Linked DNA regions of Oryzias latipes. The protein of the gene in region 2 interacts with the protein of the main gene of each other region in a pairwise test. Links are inferred from orthologs where the notes say so. Each region holds a gene or a part of one and is shown on either strand. Other genes may lie near its edges.

Evidence for each region.
Region 1: the proteins of shcbp1 (region 2) and shc1 interact in a two-hybrid assay, tested with the Homo sapiens proteins (2 studies listed by BioGRID, with this or other methods). The link is inferred for Oryzias latipes from reciprocal best matches to the Homo sapiens genes SHCBP1 and SHC1.

Annotation. Positions count from the first base shown.
Region 1 is NC_019874.2:18,331,792-18,340,116, reverse strand, and holds the start of shc1 (SHC-transforming protein 1), read left to right. Parts: upstream 1-3,255; 5' UTR 3,256-7,573; coding exon 7,574-8,167; intron 8,168-8,325. UniProt on the Homo sapiens protein: Signaling adapter that couples activated growth factor receptors to signaling pathways. Participates in a signaling cascade initiated by activated KIT and KITLG/SCF.
Region 2 is NC_019861.2:37,267,974-37,275,659, reverse strand, and holds part of shcbp1 (SHC SH2 domain-binding protein 1), read right to left. Parts: intron 7,324-7,686; coding exon 7,114-7,323; intron 6,605-7,113; coding exon 6,489-6,604; intron 6,419-6,488; coding exon 6,210-6,418; intron 6,137-6,209; coding exon 6,041-6,136; intron 5,974-6,040; coding exon 5,743-5,973; intron 5,669-5,742; coding exon 5,491-5,668; intron 5,402-5,490; coding exon 5,281-5,401; intron 1,791-5,280; coding exon 1,659-1,790; intron 170-1,658; coding exon 51-169; intron 1-50. UniProt on the Homo sapiens protein: May play a role in signaling pathways governing cellular proliferation, cell growth and differentiation. May be a component of a novel signaling pathway downstream of Shc. Acts as a positive regulator of FGF signaling in neural progenitor cells.

The DNA.
Region 1 (8,325 bases), on a different chromosome or scaffold from region 2:
TTTAGTTGATTCCTTTCATTCCACAGGCTGTGTTTCAACATGCAAACAGGTTTACCAGTCAGCTCCATTGGCTTGGTTTGTCTCTGTTGCTTTCTGTTTCTTTGTATGTCAGTTTTATGTCAATATTACGTGTCTTGTGTTGTGGATGTCTTCTCCACAGCTGATTCAGAGATCAAAGCATGCTGGAGGTCAAGTGGGCGCCTTTGGAGCTTGCTGCAATCTGCTTGTTGTGTTTTGCTTGTGTGTCTGATGTGCACTTTGGTGTTTTTAGTATTACAGACTGACAGGGAGCCTGTGTGGGCCAATGGAATATATGGTAAGATATTCAAAAATACGAGGCAAAAGTAAAAAACAAACAAACACATGACATCACAGTGGCGCGAGAGTTGCTTCATTTTAGTGTCAACTAAATTTGAAATATGGAAAAAGTACTATAGAAGAGACGTGTGACATGACTAGAAGACTGTCTAAAATCATCAAACGTCTAAGAAATTAATAAAAGTTATTTTATTGGGACTTTTTGTACCTTAGTTACTGTACTTGTAGAACTTTCTGTCACATATACACATTAAGATGGCATGTGAATTAAGTTTTAAATACTTTTTGGGGTTATTCCATCTAAATTGAACACAAAGCTCCTGCAGAATCTTTATTTCAAATAGACAGTGAGGCACAGTATGTAAAGCACATTAAATGAACCCATACCAAAATTTAGCCCATTTATCCGTCCATCCATTTCCTGAACCCGCTCACTGTTCACCAGAACTTGTCCCACCCACTGTTGTGTAAAGGCGGAGTACACTTTTAATTGATGGGCCAAAACTTAGTCTGGTCAGATAAAATATTGGGTTAAAGAAAAATAATTTTTATGGTGCATACAACTTTGTAAGTGATTTAGTTAGATGAATAAAATGTTCAAGGTTTAAAGTAAATTCATTGACTTTATTTGAGAACTGGACTGAGCGATCCCTTGGGCTCCAAGAAGCCAAAATCCCATAGACTTCTATTTAGAAATAAACCATTATGACTCAGTCAAATTCTATTAGTCAGAAGAACCATTCTTGCTCTGATACCCTTTTTTAACATGTTCTTGCTAATCTTAATTGTATATTTTTCATTATATTTCTTCATTGCAAGTTATTCAAGTTATAAACTGGCCAACCAGATGCCTCAGTAACAGCATGCAGTTCTCGCTGGCCCCCACCTCGAACATTTGAAATGTTAGATTCTGAGGCCTCTTTCAGTGGAAGAAAGTTAGTGTGGACTTCCAACAAGCGTCCTGATTAGTGACAGTAGTTGCCATAGAAATGGAGACTGGGACCGACTTGGACCAATCACTGCCGAAAAATGGCGACTGAATTGGCTTCATTTGGTTGCCGTAAACCGTTTTCTGTGGGTTACGTCACACTCACTCAGTCCAGTTCTCTTGTACAGTTAATGGGTAAATTATCGAACTGCCATAGAACTCCCAGTTTCTGATGGTGAACATACTTTTAAGAAAACTAATATTTGTCTGCATTTTGGGACTAAAATAAACTTTAACGCCTAAATTTGTATCAAAAAAGGACAAAAAAAGAACTTTGCTTCTATCTCATCACATGCATTAGTTACTGTGCTAAAATAATTATTAGATTTGAAAAACATCTTCGACAAATAATTCTAGAATTCATTAATTTTAAATGAAATGATCCTGGATCATTAGTTAAACTAGTCAGAGATTTTCTGCAAATGTTAAAAGTATTCAGAGGTGATTTTTTTTTTTTGTTTATCTAAAAGGTTTTTCTAAACAACATAAGAAATATAAAACAGGATAATTTTATACTAACTTTGAGGCACAATTCTGTTTCTAAAATAAATTTTGAAAAAGAAAAAACTTGTTGTGAAAGACCTTTTTACACATATTCCCTACTGCAGCAGTGTAACAGATAAAAGTAAAGCTTGTTCTTGAGTTACCTTATTTAAGTAAAACTAGAGTCTGAAGTCAGCATGTAGTCATGCATGAGTAATTACTCTGCCATGTATATGCACAAGGAAATTTATTGCAGTTTTCCTCAGACTGTACTCGGACGTCAGTTTATTAGTCTTACCCCAAAAAAAGCACATGCAGTTTACAGCAGTCCAGCAATAAATCCTGCCTTCACCCTTGCAGCTTTAATAGGTCTTTTGATAAAGTTGCTTTAATGAGCCACGAATTGAACTTTACGGTTAAGTTTTTTTCAGGGCTGCAGGTTTGGACCTTTTGGGACTGGGTTGCATAATGTTCAGAAAAATGAAAATCATATCCTTCAAGAGAGGAGATGCTTCAATTATTTACGCAGTTATTATGCAAGACTGGATTCATTATAACTGTGTCTACCTTATAAAAAGTTGCAATAGTCTCTTCTCTAGTCCTTTTCTGTAAATCTCAAAACGGGTACACAAATTTTGGGGGAATTTTGAAGGTATTGTGTGTCAACTCTAAGCCACTGTGGTTCAGGCTGGTGGAGGGTGCTGTTTTTCACTGTTAATCATTAGTAGTAAATACTGCAAGCACGGTGATGGAAGGGGGCACTTGGCAGGGGTGTGGTGCTTAAATTTAAGCTAGAAGCACTTTTTTTTGTTGTTTTGGTGTGAATTGAGGACTTATTGCTGTTCCCCTCTGCTTAGTTCTTGCAGCACTCTATGCCTGGTTTCCTCTCTTTTCTGCAACACTGACTTCTCATCAGATCCGCTTGACTGTCACAGGCAATTTCTGGTCTCTCTGCTTTCTATATTTTAGTGTCCTAGTCATGTGAGTGTTTCTCATATTCATTGTGCAGATGTAACTCATGCTTTTTTTTTTTTTTTAAGTTTATCTGGCTCCATCAAGGTTATACAGAGTGACCTCCTGTCACACAGAATTGCTGGCTAAAGGGCTGTGGGGTTTGAAGGAGGGAAGGGAGGGGGGTCTCTTTGTCCCAGTCTTTGAAATCTGTTTCTCAAGTTACCAAACACGAAGGCAGGACTCTTGAATGGCCAACATAAACAGCCCAGTTTTTCCACGCATGCACTGCTGTGCACGTGGAGACACACACTCACCCTCTTCCTTCCTTCCCCATCTCCCCCCCTTGAGCATTAGAGTGCATTAATGTGCATGAGGGCAGTATGTAGCTGTGCATGCATATGTGCACTTCAAAATGACTCTGGCTGCAGAGAAGGGGGGGGGCAGGAAGGAAGTAGAATGGAAAAGAAGAAGGTGGAGGGGAGGGGGGCATGCAGCACTGCACGGTAGAGTAAGAGAGAACGAGAAAATGGGAGGCAGCATCACCCACCCAGACAGGAGGAGGGGAGGGTAGACAGCATGCTCGTCCCCTCAAACAGACAGAGGTGGAAGGAAAGCGGGCATGAGAGGCAGACACGAGGGGAGAAGAGAAGTACAATGAAGGAGTGCTATTGTCCATCCTGACAGCACTGCCATTTCACCATCCGCTGAGAGACGGGAAGGGTGACAAAGGAGGGGGACGAAAGAGGAGGCAGCCAAACGGAGGAGAGAGGATAGATGGAGAGGAGCGGCAGGAGCCGGCAGTGACTTTGTGAATTAACCGAGCGGAAGAGCGGATCAGAGAGGAAGCGCGATTTTTCTGGGAGTGGATGAGGAGAAAGCCAGAGAAAGAGGAAGGAGAGGACGAAGGATCCGACTTTCTGTGGCTGTTCAAACATCACTGGGGCTCTTCTTATTGGAACATGAAAACCAGCTTTTCATGAATGGTTTATTATTAATAATAATAATAAAAAACAACTATAGAAGCTTTGATATTTAGTGAGAAAAATGAAGAACACAGAAGCAAATGTGTTGCTCACTTGATACAAAACATTTTTTAAAGGACTTTTTGTAAATATAGACTCTCTTTTCGACTTCTAATTTTTATATTTTCTATAATTGTAGATCTGCAGGATGTTATACAATCATTTCTTTTAGAAGTTTCTCAGAAGATTCAGCTTTTTATGCAAGTTTTTGTAACAGTTGTCTTTTAAATACTAAGGTGTGGTGTTCCTTGTTAATTGAAAAAGGTTTTTTTTATTATTGTTTGATATGATTTGTGATTGACTAGCTGTTAGAGTCCGTACATGCATCCAATGTGGGATGTCAACACTGATTAGGTGTGATGGGTGGCTCCAAAGCAGTCAAACTTTGATCTTAATCGTATTCTTCTTCTAAAAGCCTGTGATTTTTTTTGTTTGTTTGTTTTATCCTGCCGTTCTGTGGAAAAAAATCCAAAAGGCTCATCTATTTTTCAGTTTGATTCCACAAAGCAGTTATCCCAGAAAATTCCTGCTGTTGTCGGGACTTTACGGCATACATGCTCGGCGGGCTTTTCTTTTAATGTCTGTTGCCATAGCAACGGGAAGCAGCTGCAGACAGAACTAGATGTAAAGTTCCTCTTTTCCTTTTTTTCAAAATTCATTTTAAAAACTGGTGCTGTTTCATTGCTGTTGCATAGATCATCATAGATGTAACATCTTAGAAAGAATTAGCCTGTGCTTTTGTATGATTTGTGGGTTTTGTGTTAGGGGTCATAGTTGTTAACTCTAACTTTGTCTGTGTGAAAGTTTGTTATCCAATGTTTTTTTTTCAGTTCATCTGTCCTCAATGTGCTACTATCAGGCATGACTGTGTGAATTAGATGATCACTCTGACTTCACTTGTACATATCCGTGGGTGCTGCTGTTTGACCCTGAGGCCTATGATCATCAGTCATCAGCAGTGCTGCATCTATGACAGTCTGTTCATTACAGCGCTCATCTGTTGGTGACTCAGGATTTCTCTTCATGTAGAGGGCCGTCTCCTCTGCAGTCACCTGACCTTCACTGTGTTTTGTGCACCAACATCCTAGAGCTAGGGTTGACTCGACTCTATTAGTTCTCTCAGAAGGAACAACTGGTGTTCCTAGTCTGCTGTTAACACGTGTTGGATGTGTTGCCTATGGAACGTTCTAAGCCTCTTTGGACTTAATTTTGGTTCTATTAAGTGTGTGACAGACTGTTAATTTATTCTGCATGCTTTTTATCTGAAGACTTTGTGTCTTTTCCAGCCATACTACTTTATAGCTTTCTGGAGATCATCCAGGCCTGTCTGGCAGTGGATGAGTATATCTGGATCCTCCTTGGTGCTTTTTGTCCAAGACCAGATGGATGGCTAGCTAGAACTGCTAGACAATCCCTCTGTGGTGCTAGACTGGTGTAGGCGACTGTTCCTTTTGCCATTCATCCAGCACCCACTACAATCTTGACCGTTATACTTTTGGCTTAGTTGCATTCTCAAATGTTATAATAAGCCATTCCTTTTGGTATTATTAAAAGGTTGGTGCCAGATGTGCAGCCTTGTGTAAGTTATTCATCTTTTGCAAGTCTAAAGGTCAATGTTCTGTAAATATGACTAGTGCCTCAGCAGCACTAAGGTTTAGGCAGGACAGCTTGCTGCAGGGCTAAAAGTGTACATTTGCCTCCCACTGAGGTCAAGTTGTTACAGACTGTTTCATTTGTGGGATGTTTGTTGTGAGCGACTGCTAATGTAAGAGTATTTGCCTTCTAGGTTGGTCTATGCAGAAAGATGCAGTGTTTTAAGGTGTCTGTTGGACAGAGCTGAGATCTGACTATTCCTTGCGTTGGGAAGGGAGCTGTCCTGGAATATAGCCTTTGGCTTTTTTATATCATACACTTTGTGGCAGTGTCAACATTCTTCTCTCAGGTAAACAACTATAATCTGGGCTTTTTATTGAATTGAACTACGAAACAATCAGATGACAGCAGCTGGCACTGGGTTAACAACAAAGGTCAGTTCTATTTGAGCTTCTTTCGAACCCAGATGAGTGAGTTCATCTTCAGCACTGATGAGCTCTCACTTTGCTGAAGCTGGATTATGAGATCAAACCTGACAAATCAGGTTTCATTACCATCACAACGAGCCCACCAGTAGTGTTCATCAGCCAATGACCCACATTCTCCCGTGTTACATCACCACCTTGGTGCTGCAGTGTCTGTCACTGTACCAGTCAGACAACATCTCCCAGGAGGCCTACCAAGATTCAATGGTGCTCAAGGAATAAACAGAAAAAAAAGAACAACAAAAAAAAAAAAGTGAAACTTGGTGGTCATTTTTAGGGAACACACTTAAACAAAAGCAGGCTCTTTTGTTTTTAGCCATATCAGGTACCTCTGTCAGGAACCGGCTCCGCTCTGCGAGTCCAGTCTTAAAAACAAACTTTTGTTTGGTTTTTCTTTGTTTTTCTATGGGTGTCTGTAATGACCATGTCTAGCCTCTAGCCATCCCAAAACCTTAAGTTCAAAAGGCATTCAGACGGGACTCACTTGTATTTTTTGAGTGAGGTTCTGTTAAACGGGACAGCCTGGAGAACGGGCGAGCCATCGAGGGAGGGGGAGAGGGGGCGCGAGAGATCATTTGGAAAAGAAGAGAGGAAGTGGTGGCGCAAGAGAGGGCGGAGGCGCTGGAGAGACAGAGGCTGGCAGAGTACATTGTGTGGAGGAGGAGAGAGGACTTCCAGGACAAGAAAGGAGACGGAGAGAAGGGGGGAAAGAGCACCGAAAAAGGAAAAGAGGCTTCACCAGAGGTCATCTGGAAGAGGAGAGAAGACGAAGAAGGAGACGCAGGAAGGGAGAGGGCCAAAGCCATTCAGAGAGGACATGAAATCATTTGGAGGAAGAGGGAGAGAGAGTAAAACAGGACCCGATGACACATTTGAGGGTGTCATGTTCATGAAAAGTAGCTGCTGAAGAAGCTGTTGCTACTGCTGACACAAAACTCTGACGCTAGTTGAGAGCAGGAACCCTCCTCTCTTCTCCGGCAGGTACCTGCTGTATTATTGACCAGTTAAAGTTTTGGATGATGTCTGCACAGCCCTTCTTCTAATCCCTGTTTTGGCTCCTAATGGGATTTTTAAGCATTTTTTATGGGCCTCTGTCAAGCAGGATACGACTGCCAAGCGGAGCTGCATTACACATGTGCATGTCATCATTGCGGACTGGCAAGGTTTCCAGCACCTCGTGCATGTAGTCATATCGCATTCAAGTGCACAGCTTTGGTTCCGGAAAAACAGGCATTCCGAGTGACAGGAACTTGTGGGGACTCTCTAATGACAGCTTTAAAACTGGCTCTCACTCAGGGATGGTTATGTTGGAAGGAAATACTCACTGATTGTTTTACATCATGGGAGAACACCGAGAAAGAACTGTGGAGCTGAGAGTTCGTCTTCATTAGTCCTGGGAAATCAAACAAATCACAAAAGGATTGAACCAACATGAGCTGTACAAGTCTTGAATGAGACGTTTTCTTTTTGTCTGATTATCTGGGACATCCCACTTCTCTGGACCTCTTCTCATTCTGCATTCACTGTGGACAGAGTTGTAGTTGAAGCAGTTTGGTTTGGCTGCCTCACAATGACTGTAGGACGGACAATCAGATGCAGCAACATGGATGCAGCTCAAATCATGAGCAAGACGTGCAAATGGGTTTGTCTTTTCAGAGAAAAACTTTAGTTTGACAGACACTTTGATCCACTACAGCCTTGGCATCAAAAACTCTCTCTGCAGGATCAATATGGAGCTTGTGCCCAAAACTAAATACACCCACTTTCGGAGTGAGTCGCTGAGTTCAAACGATGACACCAACTCCAATCCATCGTCGTTCCCTCCTTCCAGTCCTGCCACCCCTTTGACCCCCTCCCCTGGTATACCTTCTTCTCTTTCCTCCTCGTCTCTCACTCCTATTTTGCCCCCCACCTCTCCCCGTCCGGCAGAAAACAGTCCCACCACCCTCTGCTCCTTCTTCCCAAGGATGAGTTCCCTTCGTCTGGGTGTCACTGCTACTCTTCTTCCAGGACTCAAGGCCTCAAGCAGGTCACAGCCATCTCAGCTGGCTGTGGAGTCCTCTGGGGACGATAGGAGCAACTCTAGCTCCTCCCCTCCTCTTCACCAACCTGCTCCCCTCCTAACCGCCCCCTCTCCCCCTCCCCGACCTCCTCTGCAGGACATGAACCGGCTTGGAGGGGCGTCCAGGAGGGCACGGGTGGAAGGTGGGCAGCTGGGAGGAGACGAATGGACACGGCATGGCTCCTTCGTCAACAAGCCTACCCGTGGCTGGCTCCACTCTGACAGTGTGGTCAGCACCACTGGTGTTTCTTACACTGTAACAGTAAGTACACTCTCATCAACCTCTGTCTTATGCTATGTACACACTGGGAATGTGATGCACATTCAAGAATGCGCTAAACAGGCATACTTGAATGTGCTTTTGGCATATGGAGTTCACACTGGACTGTCGCAACCCGATACTCGCGCATGTACTTGCAG
Region 2 (7,686 bases):
GCTGAGGATCGACCAGGCGGGGGGGGGTAATCAGAGGAGGCCGGCCTCACCTTGGAGCCGTACAGGTCGCACATGTTCATGGTGAGGCGCGCAGACGTGCGAACGATCACGCCGGTGGTCTCGCACTGCAGGACGCAGTTCTCCATGTTCAGAGTTCCCTGACGGACGCCTGTCCCACAGAAACACACGGCGGTGAGGAGGCGCATCAGGAAGTCACCTACGCACGCAGGAGGAGGCCCAGAGGAGGCCACTGAGAGGCCCTGAGGAGGCCCAGAGGAGGTCAAATAGAGGCCCGGAGGAGGCCCGGAGCGGGCCCGGAGGAGGCCCGGAGAAGGTCAAATAGAGGCCCGGAGGAGGCCCGGTGGAGGCCCGGAGGAGGTCAAATAGAGGCCCGGAGGAGGCCCAGAGGAGGTCAAATAGAGGCCCGGAGGAGGCCCGGAGGAGGCCCGGAGGAGGTCAAATAGAGGCCCGGAGGAGGCCCGGAGGAGGCCCAGGGAGGCCAAACGGGAGCTGCTCCTCCCAGGTTTGTTCTAGCATGTTTTCGTCTCTCTGAACATCAGCTGATGCTTTTCTTCCAGCTTGTTGTGTTTATGATTTTTTGAAGTTCATCATGCTAAATCCTGAATGTTGCTAAAATCTGGGAGGTCATCTTTAACCCTTTAACACCGGAAATGTCACCGGTGACGGCGAATAACAAATTCTTCGACTGTTTAGGGCTGCACCATCTGAGGAAAACTCGCATTTTGCGATATTAGGGATCAATATAGCGATGACGATATAACTTGCGATACATGAACAAAACATCTAAATTCAATATTTCCATTTCACTGCAACAGTTGAATTGAAATAAGAGTCAACATAACTTCTGCTCCAGACGATCCTCGTATACAGAAGTGAACATCTAACATCAGGGATTGATTTGATTCGTTAAATACTTTGAGATTGTTTTACAACAAGATTACAATTTACTGCAATGTTTGTCGACTTCTGTGATATACGTATTGAACAGCTTGATATCGCGATAACGAAGCATTTGTTATTTATTGTGCAGCTTAACACGAACCAACGGATTCTGTCGTGGAGAAAAGCGGTTTTGCGCCTTTGCTTCACATTAATGACGAAGACTGTGCCGAGCTGCTTTTCTCCGCTTCAGAATCCGGTGGAATTGCGTTGATTGCGTAAAACTTGAAACGGTTCCATGAATTCAAAGGTCGTGGACACTGGAGCTGCAGCTCAGGTGTTTTTATGACTTCGTGCTCACGGAATCCCACGTCAGAAAACATGCTAACGCAGAAACGCTCAGGCGAGCTCATAGACTCTAATGGAACCACGCCGTCTGAAAGCGTGGTGACGCCCACAGGGTAGGACTGGGGAGTTAAACCATCAAATGGTTCCTGAGGGAGGGGCGAATACTGAGACAGTTGTGACACCGATGGGACTTTCACTTTAGATCAGATCAACGGGATGAAATCCGAAACTTTTGGGAGAATTACTTCCAACAGAAGAGTCAGGCCATGCCGCAGCCAGTGACTCAGCCCCTCCCACAAACACCTGCATCCGGATCTTCTCTGACAGAAACCTGACATGGGACCACATCTCCATCTGCGGTCGGCGTGTTGCAAAGCGTCTGAGAGCCGCGTGACGGCGGCCGCACTCACACAGGATGCCCTCGATGGCGTCGTGCTGGATGAACTTGATGTTGGACAGTCGGACGTCGGCGGCTGACGTCTCCACGAACGTGTCGCCTTTGCTGTTCTTCTCGATTACAACTTCGTCCGGAAAGCCGAAACCTAAAGACAGACAAAACACCTGAGAGCTGCAGCGTCTACCTGGAGAAACACACCTGAACGGAAGACGGCGTCAGAGCAGGAAAAGTGTTATACTGGCTTCTGGAAAAAAACAAGTTATTTTGTGTTGAAGCTGCAGGAGCTGCAGGTCGCTGAAAAATCGGCGTTTGCAATGACCGATTCCAAAATGTTGTGGAACTTTCTAAAGTTTTGAGTTTTCTAGTTAAGCCACAGAACTGAATCTGTCTTCTTTTTTGTCCGGATTTTTGACGTTCCTCCTTTTGACCTCTGGAAAACACACCGTAACCTTTCTGTGGACGACCACCCGCTCTGGGAATGAGGAAAAACGGCTGAATAGCTGCGTTTGCACGGACAGAAGTGATCGGAATGAACGCCTGATCGGAATAAAGGTGCGTCATGTAAACGCCGTTCAGAATGCTCCGCCCCTTCCGATGGAGATCGGTGGTCATGCCGATGTTCTCCCGGTAGAACCACGGCTCTGGGACGGTGTGTGAGCTAACGGATGCAGAAATGCCGCTCAGTCCTGAGGAACCGCGTAAACAATCAGGTGGATTCATGTTTCCAGTGGTGTCCAGACAGAATAAAGGCTGAAGTTATTCCCACATGTTTACATGAGGAAAAGATGCAGACTGAAGCTTTGCTCCATGGATTCTAACTGCATCCACGGCTAAATGTTCTTGTTAGCACCTGTTAGCTAACCCTAACCCTTCTTCCTGCTCCGCCCCGCCAAGAAGAAAAGTCACAATTAAAAAAAATAATGAGTGGACCAGCACTTCATAATAATCAATAATAAAATCCCCTTCAGGAGATCATCAGGGGCCTGTTTCAGAAAGGAGGTTCGACCAACTCTGAGGTTGAACTCTGAGTTGGTCAATCGAGAGATTAACAACTCTGAGTTTTCTGTTTCAGAGAAGCTGATGGGAGTTAGGTCAATCAATTCTGAGTGGACTGATTCGGAGTTAAGCGTGCGCACCGCGACTATAAGAAGCCATTATCAATGGAGTGCAGATATCACGAGTCACCATGGCAACCGTGAAAAAAAGAGGTCTGCGTATTTTTCGGCAGCTGAACTTGACGTGCTGCTGCAGAGTTACAGTGAATATGAGCACATATTCCAGAAGAAAAGCAACACCGCTGCATCTGCAAAACAGAGACAGTTAGCGTGGAAAACATAGCTGCTCAAGTTAATGCCTAAGTTTGCATTTAAATCACTGTTATAAAATATTGACTGTAATAATTTTTTAAATAGCGTAAGGTGTGAAATAAAAAATGGGGATATTTAGGTGTACTTTTGAAGTGTTCTTCCTGGTGTAATTGCATGAAATGCTGCATAGTGTACAGAACCAATCTGGGGGGGAAATGCATTTAACGTCGGTAATGTTTAGAGGACTTTTTTGTTAACCTTCCCCTCTTGCAAACGTTGGTCAGTTTAATATTAATACAGTGATCCCTTGCTATATCACGGTTTACTTTTCACGGTTTCGCTACTTCACGGATTTGGATTGTGCATTGTGTCCTGCATTCTGATTGGCTAAAAAAGTCACTCAGCGAGTAGCTCAAGAATGGGACCCTTTGATGAGCCGTTCATTACAGTTCTCCGACATAATCGATGGTGGCATGTCGGTGTATAAGGATCTTTAGCAAAGAAGAAAAAAGAGCGACAACAACTGCCTATCACTATGTTCCTCTCCCGAACAAACACACCTCCAGCTGCACCGCGGGCTTCAAAAGGAAAAAACGCTGCAGAGGATGCAGCGGCTCAGTATGAAGAGCAGTGAAAAAGTAGACCGGAGTCACTATCTGTCCCACTGTACTTTTTTATTTTTTTCATAATCATTTTAAATTTTCTTCCGTTTAATCCACTCGGGTCGCGGTGGGCGGGGCTAATCTCCGCAATTTAAAGCCTTCTGTTCTTATCGATGATTGAAATTATTATTTGACAGCACACTACAGAAGTTATTTGTTGAAAAAACGTTTCTAAAGTACTTTTATTTGTTAAAAAACAATTGATTTAGCCTGTTAAATGGTTTGTTCTTTCTTTTCAATGTATAATAGTGTATTTCATTGTATAATAATTGTAAAAAAAATAAAGGTTTCTACTTCACGGGTTTTGCTTATCACGGGTTCTATTTGGAACGTAACCCCCGCGATAATCAAGGGATCACTGTACATGCAATTGTGTTTTTAACAGTGAACTTTTGTCTACTGTTGAACGTTTCGCTGCGCGAAGACTTCTCCTTTCTTTTCTCTCGTCTTTCCGACCGTGGTCAGAAGCGCAGGGGAGATTTCCTTCAGGGCCGAAGGGAATTCTCCTTCGGGGTTCATTTCCCGTTGGAAACCCTCAACCTCCAGAGCGGATTAAGAATGAATCCAAAACAGTTATTCTGGGAATGACACCTTCTCTTTATGTAACTAAGTGCTCCGTCCTCCAAACACACAATATATACCACGCACACACCTCCGCTCCGTGCTCACCCCCCCCCCCCATCTGCACCTGCAGTCGCCCCTCCCCTTCTCTCTCGTGGCTCGCACCCCGCTCAGCACACACACGCTGCAACACTACCCTTGTATTGATCAAGTGGTATAGGTTTATATGGGATTAAGAAAGTAAGCAGTGCTAGAAAATTGTGTTTCCAAAAAGTAATTGTTACATTAATCTAATTCAATGTCCCTGATTTAATTTTCACGTAGATGCAATCCTGCAGGAATTACAAGAACATGGCAGCAGCTAAAAATGAAAAAAAAAACGAGTCTTCGTACGAGGTAAATATAATTCTCTATGAATTAATGCAGCCTCCTCGTCTATTGGGTCCTCCAAAAAAGGACAAGCCATTCTTGTCACTTAGACCGTCTCTGTGTGACGGAAATGTGGGCAATGAAGGTTAAAGCGAAAAATACCGCTTCGTCTTTAAAAAGGGGAGGAGACCGGCATAAACTTTGAGTTTGGAGAATAAAACCTGCTCCCGACCAGGTTAGGTTCACAGCATAAGTAACCATGGATACTGACTCAGAGTATAAGTTACCTCTCTTTCAGAAACGGGTTTGACTTACTCTGCTTTCTCTGGTTTAACAAACCTCCCATTCTGAAACAGAAAACCCAGGGTTTCCCTGATGTCAGGGTTAATGCACTCAGAGTTTACACTTAACCTCCTTTCTGAAACAGGCCCCTGGTCTCTGCTGCAGCTCGTCTGTTTACGGCTGATCCGATCTTTGATCCGATCACAGATATTTTACACATAGAACCACGACTGTTGATGCTTCTGAGCATAAATGAAACTGAATTTCTTTGGTTCCCGTCTCTCCAGAATGCTGCTCATCCTTCGTCAGTGATCTTTGTATTTATTCCTTTATAAATTATTTTCTCTTACGCTCTCTGTTGTTCTTCCTCCTTTTTGTGTTGAAAAGTCCCCTCAATGTGATGAGAAAGCATTAGCTCCGCCCACTTCCCCTCAAATGGGCGGGGCTCTCATACCTTCTATAGTGATGGAGTCTGGGATGAAGATGGAGCTGCTGACGCTGTAGTTGCCGGGCAGAATGATGACCACGTCTCCATGGTGACAGGAATCCACAGCCGACACCGGATCCCTGTGGAACTGAGGAAGTGACCGAGAAGCTCAGAGCTCGCCGTTCTCAGAAGAACCCGGTTCCTCAGTATAAGAGCGAGCAGAGGGGTCCCGCTGACCTGGATCTGGTGGTCCTCTGAGGAGCACAGCGGCGCCAGGCGGACGCTCAGCAGCGACTGGAGCTGGATGGAGCTGCAGGACTCCGTCACCACGTGAACCGCCGTCAGCCCCGACGCTCTGGGCCCGCGGCTCTGCGCGCACTGCTGCCGGCTGTTGCCCTTGTAGGCCAGGACGTACCTGGACACAGCAGACGAGGAGACGGTGTGCGGGCGTCCGGCTGGGACGCCGAGAGCCTCCGCGGCGGGACCCACCTCAGCAGCGGGTTCTCGATGATGTGCAGTTTGCGTTTGAGCGTCTCCAGCTGCTCGCACAGCTTCAGGCCCTCCACCATGGACACGTTGTCCAGCTCGGAGTCGGAGTCGGCGCTGAGGCCGCTGCGCAGCTCGGAGAACTGCCGGAAGCAGCGGGAGCAGCTCTCCTGTAGGGCGTGGTACTCCGACACCAGGCCTGCCGGGACCCGGTCTTCCAGAACATCGTAGTACCTAGAAGCCCAAGAAAACTCAAAACCAAGTGTGGAGAACTGAAGGATCTGTGGGGGCGTGTTCTCACAGTCTGAGGCGGGGCTCCACGCAACGAACAAAGTAATCAAAGTCGTCGTCCTCGTCTTCCTCGTCCCATTCCCGCCAGATGTGTTTAAAGAAGAACCTGTGGAGGCAGGAACGCTTCAAGAACATCTGGAACCACTGAGGAGCCTGAAGGTGGATCAGCGGGTCCCTACCTGAGATGTTCCAAGGCCAGAGCGGTCTGGTCAAAGTCTCCGGACTCATCGTAGACCACCTGCAGCTCCTGCAGGGGGACTCGGTGCTGCGTGGCCTCCAGGACGGAGGTCATGGCGTCCTCGTCCAGCCGGCAGCCTCTGCCGTCGCACCGCAGCGGCAGCACCAGCTTCACGCACGCCCTCAGATTCTTCACGTCCAGGTCCTGCACCTGAAACCGGAGCGGCTCTGTGAGCCTCTCTGCCCAGAACCAAAACCTCCCAGAGAACCCGGCGGCTCACCTCCACCAGAACGTCAAAGATGTCGGTGGACCACAGAGCCAACCAGTCGCACGGCTCCAGAACTTTCTCCAGGTAATCTGCAGTGAAGGCCTTCACCTCTGAGGGCTTGCAGTCTCCTGAAGACAAACGACAAAACGGGGTCCAGGTCAGGTCCTCTTCACAGGGACGGTGTCCCACAGGGCTTTGTGCTGGGCCCACTACTGTCATTAGGTAACATTATCAGGCGTCATGCTAGGCTGATGATACTCGGCTTTACATAAACCAGGAGATCTTTGCCATTTACAAGACTTCCAGGAAGTTCTAAAGGTTTGACCAATGCAGGTCCAGCCAGGACTCTGTCCGTCCAGGACCTTGTCGGCCCAGGACCCGGCCCACCCTCCTTTGTATTAAAACAGACTCGACCCAAACCAGTCAGAACCTAAATCTGCTGGAGGTTTCTTTCAGCCAGAGGGAGTCTGACCTCCAACCGTTTTTATTTTGAAGCCTCTGCCTAAGCTTTGTCATCACTGTTGTGAACAATAAAGTTTGAACGCCATCTGCAGCTCTTTCTACACCGTCGTGGGTGTTTTGCATGATTGTACTGTAATATAACCGCCTCCATGCGAGCGTTGGGGTCCCCCGTTACCCAGCATGTAGTCCTGGTACGCCTTGAACCTCTCGTAGAACAGCAGGCTGCCGGTCTGGAAGGTGTCCGGCAGAGTCGCTCCTGACCGCCGCTCCGACCTCTGCAGCTGCGTCCCCGACCTCTCAGAGTTCTGGTGGTCTGTCCCGCTGTCGTCGTCGTCATCCTCGTCTTCGTCACTGACGTCTCCAGCATCATCGTTCTGGAACAGAGCTGCAGAACCCAGCGGAGGTCATGAATGATGGCTGTGAAAGTTTGTCCAGCGCCACTTTTCAAAATAAAAGACTGTTAATGCTTTTTTAAACTTTGAAGGACTTTAAAAAAAATGTTTGCATTGATTTAACTCATTTATAAAGTTATTTTGCTATTTTAAAAAATATGCTTTCAACTCTAATTTTAATAATAATTTCATAGGCATTTTAAATGTTATTTTTGTCCTTAATTGCTGTATTTTTAGTAAGTTAACAGGTTTTAAGGCTTTTTCCGGTCCTCCTGTGTCAAAATCCTCATGAAAGCAGATATTTTCTCTTCTCTTTTATTTAACAATCTGTTAAACAACTTCATAGAATCAACAAA